Neodiprion lecontei: one gene and its partners. The main gene of each other region encodes a partner of the protein of the gene in region 2 in a complex. Links are inferred from orthologs where the notes say so. Each region holds a gene or a part of one and is shown on either strand. Other genes may lie near its edges.

Region 1 (6,428 bases), on a different chromosome or scaffold from region 2:
TTCAGATCCAATTTGTCAGGCCTTTGTGGCTTTTCAATAGCATTCTGCCCCTCGAGTAGTTGAAGCTGCTGTTTTTCCAGTTTTTTTTGCTTCGCACGTTCTCTTGCTCTTCGTGCTTTTGCACGTTCTTTATCCTGTAGCATTCGTGCTAATTCTGCATCCTGAGCTTCCATCGCTATCTTCTGGTCAATTAGCAGCTGTTCATCTATCATAGAACCTTCACCCTCTGCCGTAGCTTCTTCTTCTTCCAGTTGTAACTTTCTTGCTAATTCCTATTCAGCATAGCATAATGATAACGTAGATAAGTAAAATTACCATAGACATCTTTGAATAACTCAGTTTTATGTGATTTTTATATTATTCCAGTATCATACAGCACATGTGGGAAACTACCTCTACATCAATTAGTATTGAACAAATATGTACGTGAAATTCTTGTTTCTTTATATTACCTGATCTTTTTCTTCTTGAATCCGCTTTTGCATCTCCAATTCAGCTTCTAGCTGCGCAGTTTCATCGTCGAGTCTGAGCTGCCGTCTCATTTGCTCTTGCAACATTCTTTCTTTCTTCCGTTCCTCACGTTCTAAATTTAAAGCAATTTGCTTTGCAACAAGTGCATCTTTCTCTTCCCTGTTGGATAATTCTTCATCAATTCTTCGGTTACAATGTTTCATTTTGACAAAAAAAATACCATGTTTATGAAAAAATAAACTTGAAAAACAGTAAATCAATTTTATGTGCAATTAAGTTTAAAGTTTTGTTTGCACAACACATTTTTGCACATCAATAATATAAGTATAGAACTATTTGAAAGTCGATCATGAATCCATATGTTTTCAATTTAAAAATAGTTTCACTAACTGTTGTTGGATAATGCATTGATATCTAAGGGCTTCAAGTTCTTGTTCAACTTTGGCCTTAGGTAAATCCTCGCGTACTTGTGCATTGCGAACCTTGTTTCCTGTGTAGTGTTCTTTAACTGTAAACAACAAAGGAGATGAGAGCCATTGTTGGTTATCGTTTACGTATCACAGTAAATTTCACGCAATTATTACCGTGGTTGAGACTGTAATAATATTGGTCATGACGAAAAAAACTTACTCTCCTCGTCCTGTAGTCTGTATGCCAATGCTCCATCTTCGTGTACCAGCCACTCCCGACAAACTGTAACCGTCGGAATTAACATTAACTCGAGAGGAATTAGCCGCAATTACGGCGCGTCTTGAAAAGTGACAAGAGAAAGCTTGAAGACTCTGGATATATTCAACTAACCTTCGTTTACTCTTCCTGCCTTAGGAAGGGTATCTGAACTCAATACAGACTTGGCCATATTTTTGGTTTTGATTATTCCTTGCGCGTTTTCTTAACTCTGCTCACAAACAATTTTCGTAGACAACTTTTCTTATTTACATCACCTTATGGGATCGCTTTGTTGTTCGCACCATCTTGAATATGCATTGTATACTACAGTCTGTAATCACTGTTCACACGTTTGTAGATACAACTACAAGCGTCATTTCACATTCGAGAATGGATAGTAGTGTTTACGGAAGGTTAGGTATAGTATGGTATAGTGCGTGAAGAAGCTATTGAAAATGTTTAATACAGCGACAGCGACAAGTCAGACACACCGATTGGCTGGCAGACTCATGGAAAAAATAAAACGTCAGATTAGCCAATTACATAGCTGTGGTTTTAATGCAAATCGAAGTATGACACTTTGCAATTTTTACAAATGAAGTTGGTCGCAAGGCCCTTACACTCAACATTTATGTATCAAGTAGTCAGACTTCAAGCTCACTTTCCTCACTTTCGAGACACTGGTGGCGTGTGTAAGATATAACCCTAAAACTAGGTACCCTTAACCTCAAAAGTGCATAGAAAGTTTCGTCACGTTTTTATTGACGACATTCGTGGAAAAAATGAGCACCGACACGAGTATTGAGCCTGGTCACAAATCTCGTAATGATTCCGAACCACAGGATGAATCCGCAAATGCTCAGGGTGTGGAGGTCATCGAAATCCTACCAGGGTTCACAAATTTTGATGATTTCGTTAATGTGAGTGTCACAGCTTCTAATCTCACTATACGTATTTAAAACAACTAAAACATAATGATTTATGTTGGTCAATTTTCTCATTTAATCGTCTATGCTGATCGTAATCAAATTATTTTTCCAGGTTGGATTTGAAGCACTAAAAACCGGCATAAAGGCCGCCAACGGCTTACCCAGTGGTGAAAAATATGACTACTACAAATGTTTTCCAACCTTTCGTAATATCATTAATGAGGAGATCAACAACGTTTTGGTCTGTATGCAAAACATTACAGAAGGTGTGGGAGTGAGAGGCAATATCAGACGGCGTGACATAGAAGAGAAGTTTGAGCTTTTGATTGAAGCTAATGATATTTTATTAGAGCGAGCAGTAAGTTGGCAACATCAGAAGAAAACCATTTACCTTTGGTTAAGGAAAGTAACAGAATTTAATTTATTTTTAGGGAATATGTATGGATGAGGCCTCAGGAATTCTGCGAAACCCAGATGTCGAATTTGTTGTATCGCAAAGTAACTCGACAGCTGTAAGCGGCAGCTGGAACAATCTGTCCTTCCATTCAAAAACTCAGCAAACTCAACCGGCAAATAAGGCTCAAGCGATTTGTTTACTGACGGCAAAGAATATCCAGCGACCGCAGTTGAAGTTTGAAGATAAAATTGATAACAGCATTAAACCTTGGCAACCTAGAATAAAGGATAAACCAAACTCATTGAAGCCACTCGCTCTGTATGTCGAAGAAGATGAAGATGGAGAATTTTTCAGCCATCCATACGAATTTGAACTTGATAGGTTTGAAGCACCTGAGCATCAACTGGAGTCTCGTGTTCCTGTTGAATATAAACATATAGACGACACTTCTTTAATCGTGATTGAAAAACCTGAAGATATAAAAATACTATTGGATGATTTGAGTAAATACACTGAGATTGCAGTTGACTTGGAGCATCATTCTTATAGATCATTCCAAGGCATAACATGTCTAATGCAAATATCAACCAAAGATACGGACTATCTTGTCGACACATTATCACTTAGATCTGAGCTGCACCAGCTTAATGAGATATTTACGAAACCGTCCATTCTTAAGGTATTTCACGGCGCTGGCAGTGACATCGAGTGGCTGCAAAGAGATTTGTCTTTGTACATTGTAAATATGTTTGATACTCATATTGCGGCCAAACAGCTTAATTTGCCATACCTAAGTTTGGCACATCTTATGAAGCGGTACTGTGATATTGATCCGAACAAACATTTCCAACTGGCCGATTGGCGAGTCAGGCCTCTACCTGAGGAGCTGATGAAATATGCAAGGGAAGATACTCACTACTTGTTGTATATTAAAGATAATCTTATGAATGCATTGCTGGAACAGGCCAATGGCCAAAGCAATATCTTGAAGGCAGTGTATGATCGAAGTACAGACGTATGCAAAAAGATATACAGAAAACCAGTCTGGTCGGAGGAAAAGTGTATGAATCTGTATCGAAAGAGCAAGAAAATGTTCAACAATAGGCAATTGTACGCTCTTAGAGAACTGCATAAGTGGCGAGATGCTACTGGCAGGGCAGAGGACGACAGTACTGGTTACGTTCTACCAAATCACATGCTGTTGAATATCGCTGAGAGTTTACCCCGTGAAATGCAGGGAATTCTGGCATGTTGTAACCCCATACCCCCTCTGGTCAGACAAAACGCATTATCGCTTCATAAAATAATCTTGAAAGCAAAGGAACAACCAATGATCAAACCTATCCTAGAAGATGATATCCGACAACGTATGACGCAGCGAAATCAAGTTACAGATTTAGAAACTACACTTCTATATTCACCTCATGATATGCCACATGATATGGAGATCAGAGCCGATTTACCTTGTTTGTTGGACCTAAACAGCTCTTCAGAAATTAATGTTACCGAACACACGATTCCTCATACTGTCACTGTATTTGACAGCCCCCCACAATCGGAGGTTTGATAACAAAAAGTGTACTTTAAGGGAGAATCTTACCCTGCGAAACTTGAAATAGCAAATGATTTCACAATAATTGCAAAAATCTAATTAATTCAGCTCTAGAATTCAATTGACTCAGATTAGGATTCTCCTATTAATTAATTTGATCAATTCATTTTCATCACTTAATTTTCTCAAGTACGTCTTTGAGGACATTTTTTTGCTTGTTTTTTTATTAGGATGAAAACACTGCGGGGCACATTACGAGAAAAAAAAGACGAACGCCATTCATCAGTCCTTTTGAACGGTATAAGCGTGTATTACCCATGGTAGCTGCAGAAGAGGCAAAAGAAAGAGAGAGACAAGAAAAAGAAGAAGCTGAAAGAATAAAATTGGTAGAAAATAGTGAAAACGAAATAGCAGAGAGTAAAAACAGAGTTTATAAACACTTCAAAGATGTGGTTGGAGCAGTTACTAATCCAATCAGCGTACAGCAATCCGCTGGTAGCAGTTCGAATCAGTCTATTGATTCTAAACAGTTCGGGCCTGACCACAAAACTTTGAGCCAGATGCAGGGAAGAAAACGTAAACGACAATCTAATTATCATGATGATACTAAACTGACAGAGTCGCAAGATGATTTATCGACACCGCTACCTTTCCTGCATAAAAAATTCACTCAAAATTATAGACGAGATAAACGAGAGTTGAATTCACCCACACAGGGTGTAAAGAAACAAAAGAAATCATACCACGATACAGGGCACAGTTCTTTCACTGAAGATACGGAACTTTCTGCAAATAATGAATTGTCTGTCAAATCACTCAGGTAATACTTCTACAATTGCGAAAAAACTATTTAGTGAATTTCTTCATTCATTTTGTATTGTGCCATTATATACACGCTTTACGATTCCAGCTTACTTCAGACTTGGAAAACTGTAAAACCGATTCTTATTTATTAGACCCAGAAAGTTTTTCCTGGTGCTACAATTTTTTCATGCTATCATCTATAGATAATATCGTACTTTTTGAACAAATAACAGAGAATTTTTTAAGTAACCTTGTAAAATAAGTAAATAATCCACCAAGCATTGTAATGATCAATTAGAAAGATGGTTTGTAAGAATAATATAATTTCGTGTATTTTTCAGAAACAATAAGAAGAAGAGTAAACAGGAAAATAAGAGAAATATGAAAGAGAAAGGTATTCTACCTAGAGAATCATTTGATTACAAAAATGTCGATTTCAGTAGTTTTCAAGGAGGCAGCCGCGCGCACAATCAGATTCCTTTCCAAGCTCAGAACAAGGTGAGTTGGCAAATTCGTATGGGTACAGCACTAAATTACTATCTATTGTTGTACAATTGATCGAATTCTTTTAATTGCGAGTGGAAAAGGTAGAAGCCCACAGCACGAATTTATGTTTACTCAACGAATTCCACTTGAATTTCAGAAAAAGAATGCACGAGGAAATCGAGGGAAAGGAAATAGAGGTAATAAGAAGCAAAAATGGAACTGCTAACCCCGTGGGTTGGTAAAAATTAAAATATGGTCCGAAAAAGGGTCACTTCTGTAAACTGAAGTAAATGATATATCGGGAATATTGGATGAAATTGAAAGCTTACACTACGTGAGAATTCAATCCTACTGTGATGGGACGGGATACGGAATAATCGTGATTAGCGCGAGTGATTACTTTCATAAAATATTCCGTGAATTAGACGTCGCATACCACAGCATATAGAACCATTCATCTTATTTGAATTTCTTTTTCTTTTACGTTTCATTCTTAAATACAAGTATCCATGTACCAATTATTGATATTATTGGTAAGATTGTCTAACTTTCAAACTGTTCAGAATGGTTTTAAAACAATAAAACGTTTCAAATATGAACATCAATCGTTTACATTTCTTACAGTGAAAACTGTGTATTAATGTCCCACATTATAAACTAATAAACTAGATGGTGGGTTTGGATACAAAACATTCTTTCATTATGATTCATTTCATCAGTCGTGAATAGTAATTAAGGTATTTGCTTGTTTTTCCCTAAATTAGGTCTACTCTTTTGATGAAATGTCAATTTGTGCATGGTATTAGCCTGGAAACTAGACAAACTAAAAGTTGAGTCATTTCCAGTGGTATTATGACAACATTCACGTGGATAGTGTATCACATCATAGCTTTCCGTCTTATCTGCATATTTCCTTCTAGATAAACAAAATATCAATCGTGGTCAGTGCGTCAAGAGCAACACTGACCTTAACATGAGTGCGTTTAGCATAATTATCTTCGGTATTGTGTCATATATGCTGTTTATTAACAACAATTGCAGTGCTACAATTATCAGTTCAGTACAAATTAAAAACGGTAGCTTAGTAAGATCTCATTGGCATGGAATTAGTAGTCTTACT
Region 2 (7,729 bases):
GCTCGTGGTTCTTCTTCTTGTCAAGTAAGTTGGGATAGGTCGCATCGGCACCTATGCACACGGCGAGGAGACGGTGAACCATAATATCTGCGTACCTGGAGTGCCGAAAATCGAGATATTCGGATATTACGGGTGAACGATTGATTCAAATGCCATGTTTCGGAGGCGAGAAGATTTCCAAGTTATTGGAATTTGTTCAACTGACCATGAGCAGCGGTATATTGATTCGAAAAAAGTCAACGTCCCGGTACAAACAGAATACAATAAATAAAATGCGGGGTTTCGCTTCACCGGATTTTTATTTGCATTCACCTTCTTATTGGCGATGTGAAATGCGTGTAAATCGGACACGCAAGACCATAATGAAAGTATTCTTCAGGCTGCAACATTCCGCTGGTGAAATAAACAGCCTGCATCATGCACCGAGTCGCCAGTATCCTGAGCATCGTATTGAAATACGGGTTATCCTCGGTGTGAGCCTCGTTCAAAGAAGTTGCGAGCTCCTTGCCGGACGCAGTATTTATGACGAAGCCCTAAAAAATTCAGTAAAATGGATCGGAAAATCAAAAATTAAAAACGGCAAGATAACCCCGATTTTTTTTCTCTTTTTTTTCCACAACGAACCCGGTTCCTTCCAGCCTTCACGAGTGGATCAAAGTTTGCCTGAGGCGGCTCCGGATGTCGTCTGAGCATTGAGCACTCCGGAAAATCTTGAACAATTTTTTTTGCCACGGAAGTATTGGCAAGCAACATAAATTCTTCGACCATCGAGTTAGTCTCCCTAAGCTTCTTCGCCTGAACGTCTATGGGGTCGTGGGTCTCGCTGTCTACCTCAAACCGGATTTCCGGTGAGGCCAAAACCAACGCTCTGCAATGATAATTTCCGTATTATTTGGATATCAATGATTTTATGAAATAAAATAATTATGCGAGTTATGAGTAAAATTTACCCGTTCTCAAAACGTTTCGCCTTCAATTTTTTAGCCAAACTATTCAGGCCCCTCAGCGACTTGGCAATGGAATCTTGCTGCGTTTCGTCGTCAATCTTGAGCTGAGCCTCCTCGTAAGTCATGGCTTGTCGAGATCGGATAATACTCTTGTGAAATTTCGTGTCTATTATATTAGCCTTTTCGTCCATTTCCCATACGCACGAAAACGCGAATCTCTCCTCGTTACCACGAAGAGAGCAGAGATTCGAGCTGAGTAGTTCTGCGGGAGATAAGAGGGAGGTAATAAAATCAATAACGGCAGAGAATTAACGAACAAAGGAAGCGTGTTGCAAACGATTGCGCAATCCCCTTACCCGGAACCATGTCGATCCTCTTGTCGACGAGGTAGACGGTGGTGCCACGTGACGCGGCTTCCTTGTCCAGCGCGGTTCCAGGACGAATGAAGTGAGAAACGTCCGCGATGTGGACCCCGACCTCAAGGTTCCCATTTTCCAATTCCCGACAATGCAGGGCATCGTCGATGTCCGTACAACCCGGTGGGTCGACCGAGCAAACGTCTATGTGCCGCAGATCGACGCGTTGGGTAACGTCCTGAGGGACAAAAATCGGGGAACGAGGCGTCAGTCGAGTTGCTAATTGTCAGTAGGCTTTGGACCAACATTTGACACGCTTCCCGCTCTCTTGTTTTGCCAGTAATGGCAAAATTCTTACTCACGCCAAAGTATTGAACTAAAAATTATCATTCCTAGCTCAGTAATTCAGGCAATAGACGACGGCCGCACAGTTTCACAGCATACAAAATGGACTGTTAATTCAAGATTGGGAACGCCGTTACATTTCGCGAGATATGGAGCAACTCTATAACGATTCCAATGAAAAACACGCATTCTCAATATTTCTGGGAGTTTATAAGGTCAATCCCGGTTCCTAGGTAAAAATAAATGCACCTGTCGCTAAATAGACCCGAATTGTAATAAGCGTGGGATTGGATTCCAGAAATAAAACGAATGTCACTATGGACGATCAATCGAATGGCGAAAGTCGGTCCAGCCTCGACGTGGACCGCAATGTTTCACTGACAGACGTCTTTCCCTTCTGCAATCAATTGGACAAATTTATCAAGTACATTTTGAGCGTCAGAGATCTGAATTTCCTTACTTACGAATACCCCAAGTGAGCGTTAATTATATATCATCGTCGCATATTTTTATTCTCATTCTCATACGAGCCGTTCTTTATTCAGCTCTTATACATCGTTTCAGCATTCTAAGAAATCGGTTGGAGAGCAGCGTGAGCGAGCTGCAAAGCATACTTGCGGAAGTTAAAGAGGCTGTGGCTAACGTGGAAAAGCTAAAGGCGCAAAGAAAATCGGTTAGGAAAGAAAAAATCACAGTGACGAAGATCTTGAAAAGATTGCGGGATGACGGTTAGTTGAAATATAACCGAGAGAAAGTAAAAACTCCGTTATGCTCCAATCGGTTGATCTATTGATGCGACATAATCAAAGGCTTTTGAAATAATTGAATCTGGTACAGAGATACGGGAAATGGAATGTACTATAGCGCTGTACGATAAGCCGATGTTTTCGCGTTGGGAAAGTGTGAAGAATAGCCAGAAACCAGAAATATTGGAGGGAATACTGACGGACGTAAAAGTAAACGAAAGAAATTTCCGCCACCTCTATAATGAGCATGTGAATCGGGGGGGACATGAGGGTCTAAAAAAAACGTTCCCTTTGTCACCAGAATAAACAGCACGCGTTGGAGAACCTGAGCGTCCTGGTAACGCGAAAACTTAACCAGACGCAAGCTTTTCACCCCCTGAGTGGTGTTAACGAGGCTGATAAACGTCCAAAAGAGAAGTCAATTATTCCACTTCCATTTCCCTCCTTTTGCGCGCCGCCTCCACCCCCATCGAGGCCTCCACCTCCGCCTCCGCCGCTGCCACCACCGCTTTCCGCACCGGGTCCTGTGGCACCATTCGTGGCGCAACACCTGCCGAAGAGATCGCACGCGCAACGTTTGTCGATCCAAAGACGTCGCCGGTAAGAATCCAGACAATTTCCACCACGAGGTTGATGGTAAGATTTGAAATTCAATAGACTCGAGAGGCGGGATGAGAATCTGGAGAGAAGATGCGTCGTTGCCGGGAACGTCGAGGACCTGTCCTTGGTACCCCTGACCATCGGTGAACTACCGAGGTGCACTTTGGCTTCCAATTTATACCCGGCGACACTGTTGGGAGCCGCGAGCAGTTCGAATCACGACATTTTATCTTCAATTAGCGGGCCGAGCACTGCCGCCAGAAACGAAGTACACGAAGTTACTCTGCTGAATAATAACGTGGACAATAACGGAGCTGGCGGGCTGAGCTTCGAGTTCCATAACGAAATGCGAACGGTTTTGCAAGTTCGTTTACTACGAATTAGATTTTGGAATTATTCCTCCGTCACGTGAACTGGAATTTAAGGGGCTCCGGTAAACCCTGGAATCCGCCGACGTTTCATTTCTGTTCGCAGGCTCTTTTTGGAGAACTTCGATCAGCCGCAACCCTTCCTACTTCCGATAGTACCTTAGGCAACGCTGAGGATGCCGAGAACGCGTCGGACGACATGCGAGAAATTGAATTATACATCCTGAGAAAAAATCAATGACAAGCGGTGTTTCCGTGAATTCTTGGAACTTGGTGAAAATGGAATGAGAGTAGAGAAAATAAATGGAAGAAGATATAATGGAGAAAGGACTCACGCTTGCCTGTCGTTTAAATAAAATAAAAAATCAGTACTCACCGCCTCGGTTATCAGCCAGGGTAATTTTGGAAGAAAACTGAGAACCGCGTCTGAGAATCTGTTGTGAGGAATGTCGTGCTCAAGGAGGAGGACTTCGTTCTCTGTTTCTTTGTCGCCAATGTTACCAAGTGCTCTGACAAAGTGGCCCAAAGGGTATCTAGAGTTGCGGGGCCAAGAGTCTATCGCGACTATGATCCGCTGCTTGCTCAGATTCTCAGATTGACGAGTTTCGATCCTTACTCGCGGGATTTTTCGCTCTGCCGGAACGAACATGTGCCTCACGTTCTGCAAAAATCAAACATTGGAATATTTTTACTCTGGTACGGAAAAAATATTAAAATTTGAATGCCGGACTCAGCATTGATAATTTGTGCAAGATGTAGCAGATTTATACTGTATTTACACATATGTGGTAAGATAAAATCAATTGCAATCATTTAACTAGCAGCAAACTCACCCCTTTCACAAGACTGGGCTGCAGAATACCGCAGTATTGTCGCCATTTCCGTCTAATTATGCCTACTACAACCCCGGTAGGCGTTCTCTGAATGTTTTTCGGAACTTTTATAGCCTTCAACTCGGTTTCATCTTCCAGCAAATCACTAGGATCTTCTTCTTCGTCTTGAATAACTAAATCCGAGGGTACACTCCACTGATCTTCGGGCAGTAGCTCTATAGCGACGATATCCCCGTCGACTGCTCTATTCAGTGCGAGTTTTCCTTGCAACAATATCTGTGATCAAAGACGAAGGCCATTGCTTGAAATTTAGAAGATACCAATTGTAAACAGACAAATCACAGTCCAAGTACTTTAAAACAAAGCTCACAAATTTTTCGTATCCTTCGACATTTACACTTCCTTCCAAAAAATTCTCCCTTGAAGCAAGGAACGTTCCTTGTAGCAATTTCCTGCTCTTTATACCGTCGTGAATTTGAGCAGGCGTCAAGTGTGGTGGAAACAGCGGTGTCTTGCTTTCTCCTTCGAGAACATAGTTCCGCTTACACAGCTTGTCTTGTAAGAACCCAGCGTCAATTAACGATGCAACATAATCTTGCACTGAAAGAATAATTTCCAGTTTTTATTCGTTGGGAATTCTAATGACCTTATTATACTTAATTCTAACGATGACTTCAATAGTGCAAGTATACTTACTCGACGCAGCATTGATGCCTTCACCGATCGCTTTATCTCGATTCGCGGCATCGTCTGTAAGCAAAACAACGTCAACCTTTTGCTTCTCTTTACGAGCACCTTTGCTCGCATTCACGTGATTCTGGTACCAAGCTGCAGCGACTCTGATAGCTCTATCATTGCGATCATTTACGTTCTCACGTGGTTCTCGTTCAATATAGGTATCCCTGAAATATTCGGGAGAAAAAGTGAAACAACTTTCCTGTGGCATATTTTTTTTTTGTTAGAGAGTCAAAGATTCTCACTTATGATGCTCATTAACGAAGACGTAAAACTTTCGCTTAGGATCGCCAATAATGTCTCTCAGTTTTTTGTACACATTGGAACTTCTGTGCCGTACCTCTTCAAGCACAGTTTGCAAAATTATGACGTTGCATAGAGCATCTTCTTCGAGAACATCAATCTGAAAAAATAAAAAAACCCACTGAGATTTTGCTACTTATTCAATTGCTTGAAAGTTCTTTAAAGACCGATACTCAAAGCTCGATTACCTGGTCGAGAACTACGTTGGTATCCAGAACAAGATAGTGTCCCTGAGGGTATAAAGAACTTCTCGACTCAGGGTCTTCATCAAGGACTAAATCCTTGCTTTTGTGTTTACATATTGAGCACAGATTTGACCCACACCATATATCATCCCTGAGGTAATGCTCTCTGACAATCTGTGTAAAAAGTGCAATTAGATAACATAACCACAAGAAATTCGTAATCACAATATATGACACCGCTTATCGTTTACTGCGGATTAAACAAACCTTGAGAATATTTCCCCTCTTTGTTTTTCTGAAAAATGTTTTCGTAGTCAACATTTTGAAAATAAGTTAAAACTCTTGCTTCGCTTAACGTGAGCGTCAGCCGACGACTCATATGTCACATAACCTCTCTGACCACAACGAAGACGGAATTAGCACGATGCGGGTATAGCTCTCCGTATATTCACAATTATCTTTTCGGATAAATTTAAACCCAGATAAAAATGCGTGAGGAAGAAAATTGAAAATAAATACGAAATTTTCAAGTTTCTCGCTCATCATTGACGCCATAAGAGATTTATTATCATTTTATTGTGTAGCGTAAGCTGTAAGGTGGTCAGAATAAATGATTCAGCACACAGAGTGGTTTTCATTCATCTTTTACGTTCATTGAGATTTATTTTCTGATCGACGAAGCTCACTCAGCTGCTTTGTTTTGATCAGGTGACCTGTTCCTGAGTCACGTGTCACCATCACGCGACCGACCGACGTTCAGTTGTTACCGTCGTTACGCGACGTTCATTTGTCGCGCGACATTCGATTGAGTCGTTTCTCGTCGAATTCCGGTATACGTCTGAAATTTAGAATTCAATCCCGTGAAATATTGGTACCCCGTGTGGTTGATAACAGTGATAATTATCACGATACGTAGGATAAGTTGAGGATACTGAGAAGTGGTGCTCAGTGAATATTTTAGGTGTTTTCTTTCAGTTACGAACTTATCCGCGCTCACTTGTTTCTCTCGACTTTTTTCGAATAGTACGTTGATGTTTTTTTCGAACGAGTGATGCTGTGAGCTTCCCGACGATAATCGCGAAATTACGATGCAATCGTCGTCGTAAACTTTCTACTGGGAAAAGATGAGATTGCCCCGAAGGTGTTTTCTACAGTAGTGTGTTGTGCTGTGGTGAAATCAAGTGCTGGTGATAATCGAATTCTTCCAAACGCCTTCAGTTTTTGAGGACCAAATAGAGTGATGGCTGCCTGGATGCATTTTTGAGTACTTGCTTGATTTTAAAAGGTTAGTGATGAATAGTTTACTAGTAAAATATTTCGGTTACGCATCTTTTTCGTATGTTTCACTCTTCGAACATTGTACACGCCGCAATTAGTCAATGGAACTAGCTGAAAAATTATATAAATCTCTCGTTATTTTCATTTCGTTGAAAAACGAAGTCCAATTATCATACTAGGTTTTTTACCGAACAATAACTGCGACATGATGAATCAATGAGACCTTATCGAAGAAATTATATATCATTTTATTATATATTCCAAAATGCCTATTTATATTATATTTACACGTATTATCTATTCATTTATATACATTACACAGTTATTTCAATTTTTGTATCGCATATGGTAATTAATTGAGACTTCGTGCGGTAATACCTGTAAGTTGTATGCACACCAGCTTTTCTTGATTCAAGGGAATATATCTCAAGCAATAAAATATTTTCTCATATTATTCTCGTAATAGGTATTCTCGTTATACTATATTTGAACATGAATCTGAGAAAATATCACACTGTTATTTCAAAAACGTTCAGAAGTATGAATTTCTAATTAAGTACGAAACGATTATGGTGTCACAAAATAAAGAATGGCACATATTTGAATGTATTTATATAACGCGAGCATGTTTTCATTTTCGACTCACCTACAACTCGTATTGCAAACTTGAGGTTGGCCCGAAAAGACCTGAGTTTGACTCCCCGTTACGCAATATACTAACTTCATCTTCTATCAGTTGATGGAATTAAACCCCTAGTTAAGTTATCGAAGCACTGCAATAACACCGCTATCCTTTGAGATCCTCTTTACATGTTTCAAACACGTACAGTAATGGAAATTTTTCAAAATACTGAATGAAGCAGAGAAAACTGCAATGGACAAACGATTCGATTCTTTGTTTAAATATTGGATAAAAATTTAGCGAAAAAGGAAACTAAAACTTTCTTTCTCAACTATCGCCAAGCAGTGATCTATGATGCTTGAAAAATTGAAAAACCTTCGAGATACTAGCCTCCTGTAAGATATACGCAGC
Region 3 (4,380 bases), on a different chromosome or scaffold from region 2:
TCACAATATATAATAATCAGCACGGTATATTCAACACACGTGATATCGAAAGTAAAATTACATTTCTTGTTCACCCCTTGCTTCAGATAATCGAAATGGCAACTTCACAAACAATATCGTATATACGATTTCACACTCTTTTCAATTAGCACACTCGCATTGGAAGTTTTCAAAAATTTGTGAAAACCATTGTACGCGGCTGTAAAGTAAATCAATTCGGTGCAGCCCAATTATTCCGTTTATAATTAGATTTTATGCTATTATTTGTAAATATATTATAGATATTTCTCTCGCCTGAAACTCTTTCCATCGCATTTCACTGGTCTTTTTCACCACATTCAAATAGTAGCCAGGTTTGATTTATCAGTGTATCCTTGTTGGGAAAAGAAATCGAACATGTTAGTATCGTTACAGAATGCTTGAGAGTATTTTGAGTTGACTGTCACTGAAAAGAATAAACGAAAATTAAACGTGTTGGGGATCTAACACAAAGAAACGAAGGTCATTCTTTGTGGATTTTGTAAATTGCAATACACAACAAGACTGAATTATGGGAGGAAAAAAATTGCAGCAAGTGAGTCTTCCAGGATATTTTTTCTGTGAACTCTGCATTTTATGTGCAATAACAAAAGAATTGAATTACTCAATGGATTGAGGAGTAAAGTTTGAGATTGACCTTGTGAATGACCTAGTGAAGTGTAATTTTTTTTCTCTAATGTACGATAAGTAATTTGTAGTATTATTGCAACTCGACAGGCAAAAGCTGTCTACAATGTATGTACATAAAAAATTACTCCAAATATATGAGTACGTATTTATATATGTATATATATAAATATAAAGTACTTGACATTCCAACAAAAATTAGTGTTCCTTATAAGCATTTCAATAGAAATTGAGACAATATTGATTCTATATGTTTAACCCAGTTTACACAATCATCCAACTATGCTATTCATTGTGGCACATTGGCAAAATGAATAGTCCGTTTATGAATGCAATTTACATTTATTTTATTTTTCATTAACGATATGCTCCGGTACAACTTTAGCTACTTTGCGCAATTCTTTGTTTAGGGTCTCTGGGCACTGCATTTCCGTCCAACTTACAGGCACCATAGATACACCTGTATAAAAAAAAAAACGAGGAATTTTCTACATTAACCCTTTACTCAACAAAATCCATAATTTCCAAATAGTGATATTTTGTTTTCACAGCAACTAATCTCAATTCACCCTAAAAAGTACAATAAAACTTCCATTTCGAGTCTAAGGCGGTAATTTTTCCAAACGATTTCATTTTGATAAATGAAGTGTAAATGGTTATGACACAAAGATGAAAACCTGTATTGTGCTGATTTTTTGTTTTACATATCTTCAAACTGAGAGCTGAGAGCTATTGAATATTTTATAGCGTATATATTCTTTGACATTTTTCTACCGCTATAAAAAAATAATTCTGCTTACCCTCTTCGCTGTGGGCGATAACGACTCCCAATTCATTCTCGGCAGTGGAAAGTTGATAAGTATGGACTTCGGTGAGAGGTAACTAAATTTTGCATGGGAAAAGTAGCCAACTATGAAACTGCGGTATTGATAACGAACGGTAGAAAAAAATTTTCAAAGAAAAAGGATACAACTCTAGCCAGAATAATATCTCCTGGTTTAAAAGATTTGTACATTTCAGTCTTATCTTTTTCCGTAGCCCTGACGTCTTCTTTTCTTAAAATGCCTCTGTAAGGTCTGGTCAAAACCACATCCCCAATGCATTTTATAACGCATTTGCAAAACCTTTGATTAACGACCATTACCTCGGCTGTTACAATGTCTCCGGGAGCTGGGACAATGCTTTGTTCTCTTATGCCGTGCACCTCAACTGTGCTCTTCTATTGATAATAGAAAGTGAGAAATGATGTTTAATCTGAAGGCAAGCGACCGTGAAATATCTTAAAACTTATCGTACGTGTTCATCTTTAACCAAGTTCACCACTCCTGCTAATTTTGAATAAATATATCCGTGCTGCTCGTAAGTTCCCGGTCCTGGAACATTTACTTTGTCCGACAAACAGAGCCTCTGACCTGGATTGCAATAAAAATTTATCATGAGTCTTAACCACCTTTAATTTGCATACAAACAAAACGTAATTGAGGATAGGACGGGCCAATTCATTTGGGACATTTCTGCGTAGAAAACTTGGGAAATGTTTATCGATTTCGTAATTCATTCATCCTTACCTGGAACACACACTATTGGCTCATTTCTTTCGTCCATTTCAGTTTTGAATCTATGTAAGTTTATTATTATTTTTCAAATTGCGACAACGGTGACAACATGTGGAGCACGTTTGAAATTAGGTTAGGTTGGGTTGTCATATTGTAGTTGGATTGGTTGGATTGGTTGGATTGTAAACAGAATTTTGTCAGCCTCGAAATCGCAAATGATCAATTGATCGATATGATTTAAATGTAAATCCATGTAAATCATCGTCGCACCAATCATTTGGAACGTTGACTGACTTCAGTCAAGTCTCGGAATACCGCGGAAAAGGGGTTAAGTAATTAGCTCTTAATACCTGGATGACAATGTTAAAATTGTAAAGGTTGAAAATAATGAACAATTCAAAAGTGCCGCCTCCTTCATTTCTACAAATTAATAAGTTTCCGTCATCAATGTTCGAAATTCTAACAATAGAAAATTATTCCAATTTATAAATCTCGCAAGATGTGAACCGATTCCAAGAAATCGTTGATCAAATTTGATCGAGTTTCGTTGCGATTGTTAAAAATAATTAGTGATTAAAATTTTTTAAATTGCTCTCCCGCCAGTTTGTATAACCGGAAGTCCGCGTTAATTTGAAAAGGTTTCGTACATTACTTCAGACCGCTCGATGTTCTTCTGTTGTTTAAAATTTATGGTGCTTGCACTGAAAGTTTTACTCCACCATACGCGGAAAACCTGTTGAATACTAACAGCAAGTCGCATAATTGACACATAACATTTATGACAGTTTATTCGCTGCAATGCTACAACATTACGTAATTATCAAATGTACATATTAATTAACATATTTCTACTTATAACTTAAAAGTCACAGACTACACAAACTATTGAATTGAACTAAAAGAAAGTCACCTGTATAAACAAGTAATGACATGATCATAGAAGTAATTGTTTGAAAAAATGTATACAGTGGGTTACATTAGTATCTCAGATACATATTTTCAAACGCATTATTATGATTATATAATTAATTACCTTCTTTATTACACATTGTTATATTATACAAAATATAAGCTCGATTCCAGGAGTCCACATAGCTCACAAGTACACATAATAGGTATAGTAATATCTATTCAATTGCGTTTCAATGTACAATTTTTTTTGTTGAATTACATACTATATTATTCACACACGTTGGAACAACATCGTCACTTTGAGATGCGTTGAATACTTTTTTTTATACGTATCAAACAAAAATGGATATGTGTATACATAAAACTTATTGAATCGACTGTAGATACGTGATACCCTATAAATAATCCGCTATATCAGTAAATCACATAATTTATACAATAATTGATCGGTCGAAAATATCTTTTAAATCGCATTATCGATGCTGTTGCGAAGAAAAATTAAATAATAGCAAATCGAAGTTGATGTGAAAAAAGAAGATAGAAATACAATAGAACCTGGTTTATCCGAGGTAATATGGGGAGAGCATAACTCGGATGCGTGAAATTTCTGATAATACGGAAAACATGTACAATCCATGCCATTACGATGTTTTACCCTAGCTTCCAGAATCGGAACTGCAGCGATTATTGCTCGCAATGTCACAAATCGCAAGAAACTTTTACAAGTTTATCCGTATTCAAATAAAGATGCGACACAAAACTATTTCATACACATAAGGCACAGTGGATTGTTCAGTTTCATCCAAGGTTCTCCGTATTATCCGAAGATATACACATTGGTGAATGCAGAGTGCTCGGATGAGATGGGCCTCTTGGATAATGCGGAACCTTGGATAATCGAATGTCGGATAAGCTAGGTTCTACCATAGAAATAACAATTTGCATGATTTAAATAAACGCCTTGATAGTTTCGTCGCTTGTAGATGAGCGCTAGTTAAACAAAGTACAATGAGGATGGGGTGCGATGAGGAGGATCGCCAATTGATTTACCTACATAATTAACCCTTCTTGAACTTAATCAGCAATATCGATAATGTGAGGAATATTATTATCCACAGGAACGTGGAGATGAAACCGTCGTAAACGGCTGGCTGAGATATGGGCCATCCTTTACCGAGCATTGCCCTGATCGACTCTGTGCTCTTCGTCAACGGCAAGATAAAGCTGATGTATCTGAGGACCGGAT
Region 4 (3,754 bases), on a different chromosome or scaffold from region 2:
TTCGACACCGGGGTCAGGTTAACTAGGTAATTTAAACTTTAAAAGATGCAACGTATAGTTTTCGCAGAGCAATCTCGACACGAGAGGCGCCGCTTTAGAGCTTGCGTAATATCTGCTTGCATTAATAACTGCAAACGACGGTGAGATAGACGTTGAATTGAGCGATTATTTAATATAGGGCTATTTTTAATTTATGTACTGCGACAAACTCGTGGCTGCTACCAATTCTCAAAAACCGTGCGGGTCGTGAAAGACAAATAAACGATATAAACTCCCCTGAAACTATGCAGAATCTATTTAAACAGAGATATAAACGGAAAGTCGTCAATGTCAATTAAACAGGTGCGTTTTGTAAGACTATTTATTCAAGACGTTTTCACATCTATAAATATATTTCGAGTTTTCATCTTCTTTTATCTGTAGGTTTCTATTATAAATCATAGACAAGATATACTTGTACGTCATATACGTTGTACATGCATATTGCAGGACTGATTGTTAACCAAAACGAAGCCACGATATTGGTGTCTTCTATAAGCCTATTAACATTTTTGCTGCCCAACACAGAACAATGGAACTATTTCAACGACATATTTGACGCGAGTGTTGACGGAAGTATGCAGACGGTTACCGCTGAAAAAAAAACATTTCCAGACCATTACTCAGCGGGTAAGTGGGCCTAGAGCCATAAGAATCCGTGTTAGCGATCCTTTTTTACCTGCGGGAGCTGTTTAACACTCAATCTCGTTAGATACACAAAACCCAGTTAGGGCAACCGTCTTTGACAGTCTTCAGTCATCGCCGTGGGTTTCGTTGCAGACTTTGAATTGGCGGTTATTGCACCCTACTACTCCCTGACGTTTATTTAGGGTATTCTAAGGCACCATGGGCGAAACATGACAACGTGAAATTCCCTAGAAATCTTGGACTACGTCAAAGCAACCGAGTAAACATCAAACAACATACACCGAGATGTTTATGCAACGTAAATTCATCGATAACGTACAGCGTAATATAACGCTAATCAAAAAGCATTACAATTAAAAAAGGATACAAAATACACAAGCAGAAAAAGCACAGCGCCGGTGTCGAATAGAGCAAACGCGAACAACAGCGGCTCGGAAACCATGATTTCTACACGTAATTCAGCTGTCAATAAGTTCTCAGATTAGAACTAAATTATATCGGGAACAAGTTTGATTCGGTAAGCGTAACACCAAAGAATTAAATCTTTGTTTTTACAGAAAAGGTGTGGGTAAATCTATAAACTACCGACTGTCGTGGGACTGTCAAAGCCTCGTCAAGCACACTTCACGCCTCTTGCCACCAAGCATACCACTTGGCCGAGAAGAAAATGCCCTAGAATCGCAGAAAACCTTCGAGGCCGCATTGGAAAGCGACTACCGTACTGTCAGTGGATTGCGTACATTTTTCAAGGCACAACCATAGACTTATAAAGGGCACAACACCTCACATCCACTTTGGCTCTAAAGGGTGTGTTTCGAAGTTAGCTCCCAGTGCTGTCAATCATCTCTTATCTCTTTTGCGCTGCCGAGTTCGTGGGTAAATCTGCGTCTGTTCAAGGGATTTCTAGCGCTTCAAACTAATTACTAGCGAATTTAAACATGCTGATCATGCCTAAGCACAAATTTGTGCGCTTAATTTGAACACTGAATAATATTATTTACATGAACCTGATTAACTTTCCGTGCGCGTTCGGAGGGCGAAGTGGGCGAACGCTAGTCGATAATCTTATATCTTAGTAATTTGACAGTGCTGCCGGTACACGAACGCGTTTGGTAAGTGTTTCGTGGGTGTCGTTGGGCTTTCCATCTTCGTTTATTCCGATGATTCATGTTACCAACAAAACATATCTTTACTTACCGTCGAACACCTAGCTCACTTTAGTTATTAGTGTAGCCATGGTATAGCAGGAAAGATTATGGTCAAAGCCGTCAAAGCCTCACGAAAGCGTGGTTGAAAGGCCGAGACAAATTAGGTTGGGCAAGATCGACAACAAACGGGTACACCACGCGATTCTACAATCGACTAATTGTAAAAGGAAAGTGATACTGAAAGTATACAAAGTAAATTTCGCAATGTCTGGCCAAGACTTAGTGTCGGACCAAGGACTAAGAGTCGATGGACGACGAGCAAATGAGTTGAGACAGATTCGAGTTCGAATGGGTGTCTTCGGGCAGTCGGATGGGAGTGCTTACCTAGAACAGGGCAACACAAAAGTTTTGGCTGCAGTGTACGGGCCCCATCAGGTTATTTCCTATAACGTATTTCAGTTGTTCACATCCATAATTCTCTTAACTTGCTCATTGACAATAACAATTGTTTGCTACAGCCAAGAGGAGGGGGGCGTGGTGGGAACAGAAGTGGCACGGGAATTATAAATTGCCAGTACAGTATGGCTGTGTTCAGTTTTAGTGCCGGTGAGCGCAAGAAACGACCACGCGGTGATCGCAAGACCCAAGAAACGTCTCTGCAGCTACGCAGGGCTATCGAAGCTATTGTACAAGTAGAACTGTACCCTCGCTCTCAAATCGACGTGTTTGTCGAAGTCCTTCAGTCCGACGGCAGTGATTATTGCGCAGCAGTAAACGCAGCGACTCTCGCTCTAATCGACGCTGGTATTCCCATTAAGGTACTTCTAATAATAACTTCTTACGCACTGTGCTTTTACTGATTTCTACTATAAAAATAATGAAATTTGATATGCTTTACTTACAGGATTACTCTGTAGGATGCACAGCAACGATAGCCAGCATGGGAGCTTCGGAAGAAGTTGACAGTAAGGATGAAACAGGATCTGGAACAGGAATAGTTGATGCAAATCATATGGAGGAATGTACAGGAGCGACGACATTAACTGTCGTTGCTTTACCAGGAGCCCCTGGCTCTAATTATGAGTCAGATACCGACAATTCCGGTTTAGTAGTCGTGGCGCAAGGAACTGGTGCACGACTCCATCTCTCCAGGCTCGAAGGGCTCAGGCAACGGGCGTTGCAGGGCTGTCGGGATACAAGGGTGATTCTTGATCAAGCAGTTAGATTCCATTTAACGACACATGATCCTCATTTTATTTAGTACTATGTTTAATTCATCCCCATATTTGTTTTACTTATATATGTGTGTATGTGTCGTCAGCTATGCATATGAAATGAACTAATGAAAATTTGAAATGGATCATGATTTATTGTACTATTTCATTACGCTTTTTTTTTCCTTTTTTCAAGGTGTAATAAATCTTAAAAAATATATACATGTACACATTTATATAACAGATATCTCCGACTGTAAAAATATAAATTCGTTCTTTCAGCCTAGTTTTGAAAGGGTTCGTACTCTTTTGCATTTATAAAACGTTTAATGCAGTGTATCGTATTTACGAATAGAAGATTAGAATAGTTTATTCTGCAGTTCCGTTAAAGTTTGGCATCTGGGTGTCTCTCCAGTATCATTCCAACTCCCTGTAAATAAAGATAAATGGTTCATCCGTCATTGATTACTGCAGCGCATGCCAGGCTTGAGGATCCAAGAATTAAAATTTGTGTATAATAAAATAAGAAATCATTGCTGACCTGACCACCAGCAGCGCAGGCAGCAATTAGCCCGAATTGTTGATCCTCTCTGATCATGCGGTTTGCTGTGTGAGTTGCTAATCTAACTCCAGTAGCGGCGAAGGGATGTCCGATAGACAGAGAACCACCCCAAGCATTCCACTTGTTGATATCTGGCACACCAA

The links.
Region 1: exosome complex exonuclease RRP44 (region 2) and exosome component 10 share a complex: the UniProt entries of both Caenorhabditis elegans proteins name them as parts of the RNA exosome complex. The link is inferred for Neodiprion lecontei from reciprocal best matches to the Caenorhabditis elegans genes dis-3 and crn-3.
Region 3: exosome complex exonuclease RRP44 (region 2) and exosome complex component CSL4 share a complex: the UniProt entries of both Caenorhabditis elegans proteins name them as parts of the RNA exosome complex. The link is inferred for Neodiprion lecontei from reciprocal best matches to the Caenorhabditis elegans genes dis-3 and exos-1.
Region 4: exosome complex exonuclease RRP44 (region 2) and exosome complex component RRP41 share a complex: the UniProt entries of both Caenorhabditis elegans proteins name them as parts of the RNA exosome complex. The link is inferred for Neodiprion lecontei from reciprocal best matches to the Caenorhabditis elegans genes dis-3 and exos-4.1.

The regions. Positions count from the first base shown.
Region 1 is NC_060263.1:36,947,439-36,953,866, forward strand, and holds exosome component 10, read left to right. Parts: upstream 1-1,742; 5' UTR 1,743-1,922; coding exon 1,923-2,060; intron 2,061-2,181; coding exon 2,182-2,427; intron 2,428-2,500; coding exon 2,501-4,027; intron 4,028-4,248; coding exon 4,249-4,838; intron 4,839-5,163; coding exon 5,164-5,320; intron 5,321-5,465; coding exon 5,466-5,534; 3' UTR 5,535-5,913; downstream 5,914-6,428. Other genes in the region: coiled-coil domain-containing protein 50, read right to left, coding at 1-272, 453-630, 862-979, 1,102-1,164, 1,273-1,330; pancreatic triacylglycerol lipase, read left to right, coding at 6,282-6,428. UniProt on the Caenorhabditis elegans protein: Catalytic component of the RNA exosome complex which has 3'->5' exoribonuclease activity and participates in a multitude of cellular RNA processing and degradation events. Involved in apoptotic DNA degradation.
Region 2 is NC_060266.1:26,348,256-26,355,984, reverse strand, and holds the start of exosome complex exonuclease RRP44, read right to left. Parts: upstream 6,077-7,729; 5' UTR 5,740-6,076; coding exon 5,686-5,739; intron 5,593-5,685; coding exon 5,422-5,592; intron 5,334-5,421; coding exon 5,176-5,333; intron 5,098-5,175; coding exon 4,892-5,097; intron 4,796-4,891; coding exon 4,566-4,795; intron 4,472-4,565; coding exon 4,196-4,471; intron 4,024-4,195; coding exon 3,739-4,023; exon of another isoform or gene 3,604-3,738; coding exon of another isoform or gene 3,469-3,603; intron 3,359-3,468; coding exon of another isoform or gene 3,052-3,358; intron 2,995-3,051; coding exon of another isoform or gene 2,696-2,994; intron 2,605-2,695; coding exon of another isoform or gene 2,486-2,604; intron 2,377-2,485; coding exon of another isoform or gene 2,213-2,376; intron 2,124-2,212; coding exon of another isoform or gene 1,947-2,123; intron 1,882-1,946; coding exon of another isoform or gene 1,823-1,881; exon of another isoform or gene 1,542-1,822; coding exon 1,304-1,541; intron 1,210-1,303; coding exon 951-1,209; intron 869-950; coding exon 625-868; intron 534-624; coding exon 313-533; intron 96-312; coding exon 1-95. Other genes in the region: arp2/3 complex-activating protein rickA-like, read left to right, coding at 1,823-1,881, 1,947-2,123, 2,213-2,376, 2,486-2,604, 2,696-2,994, 3,052-3,358, 3,469-3,603. UniProt on the Caenorhabditis elegans protein: Putative catalytic component of the RNA exosome complex which has 3'->5' exoribonuclease activity and participates in a multitude of cellular RNA processing and degradation events. Has both 3'-5' exonuclease and endonuclease activities.
Region 3 is NC_060263.1:20,669,410-20,673,789, forward strand, and holds exosome complex component CSL4, read right to left. Parts: upstream 2,372-4,380; 5' UTR 2,272-2,371; coding exon 2,235-2,271; exon of another isoform or gene 2,079-2,234; coding exon 1,963-2,078; exon of another isoform or gene 1,886-1,962; coding exon 1,637-1,885; exon of another isoform or gene 1,549-1,636; coding exon 1,467-1,548; exon of another isoform or gene 1,127-1,466; coding exon 1,014-1,126; 3' UTR 606-1,013; downstream 1-605. Other genes in the region: ABC transporter G family member 20, read right to left, coding at 4,193-4,380. UniProt on the Caenorhabditis elegans protein: Non-catalytic component of the RNA exosome complex which has 3'->5' exoribonuclease activity and participates in a multitude of cellular RNA processing and degradation events. Involved in regulation of antisense ribosomal siRNA production.
Region 4 is NC_060262.1:41,627,683-41,631,436, forward strand, and holds exosome complex component RRP41, read left to right. Parts: upstream 1-1,823; 5' UTR 1,824-2,099; coding exon 2,100-2,270; intron 2,271-2,353; coding exon 2,354-2,653; intron 2,654-2,739; coding exon 2,740-3,096; 3' UTR 3,097-3,251; downstream 3,252-3,754. Other genes in the region: protein cornichon homolog 4, read right to left, coding at 1,055-1,129; trifunctional enzyme subunit beta, mitochondrial, read right to left, coding at 3,435-3,479, 3,591-3,754. UniProt on the Caenorhabditis elegans protein: Non-catalytic component of the RNA exosome complex which has 3'->5' exoribonuclease activity and participates in a multitude of cellular RNA processing and degradation events.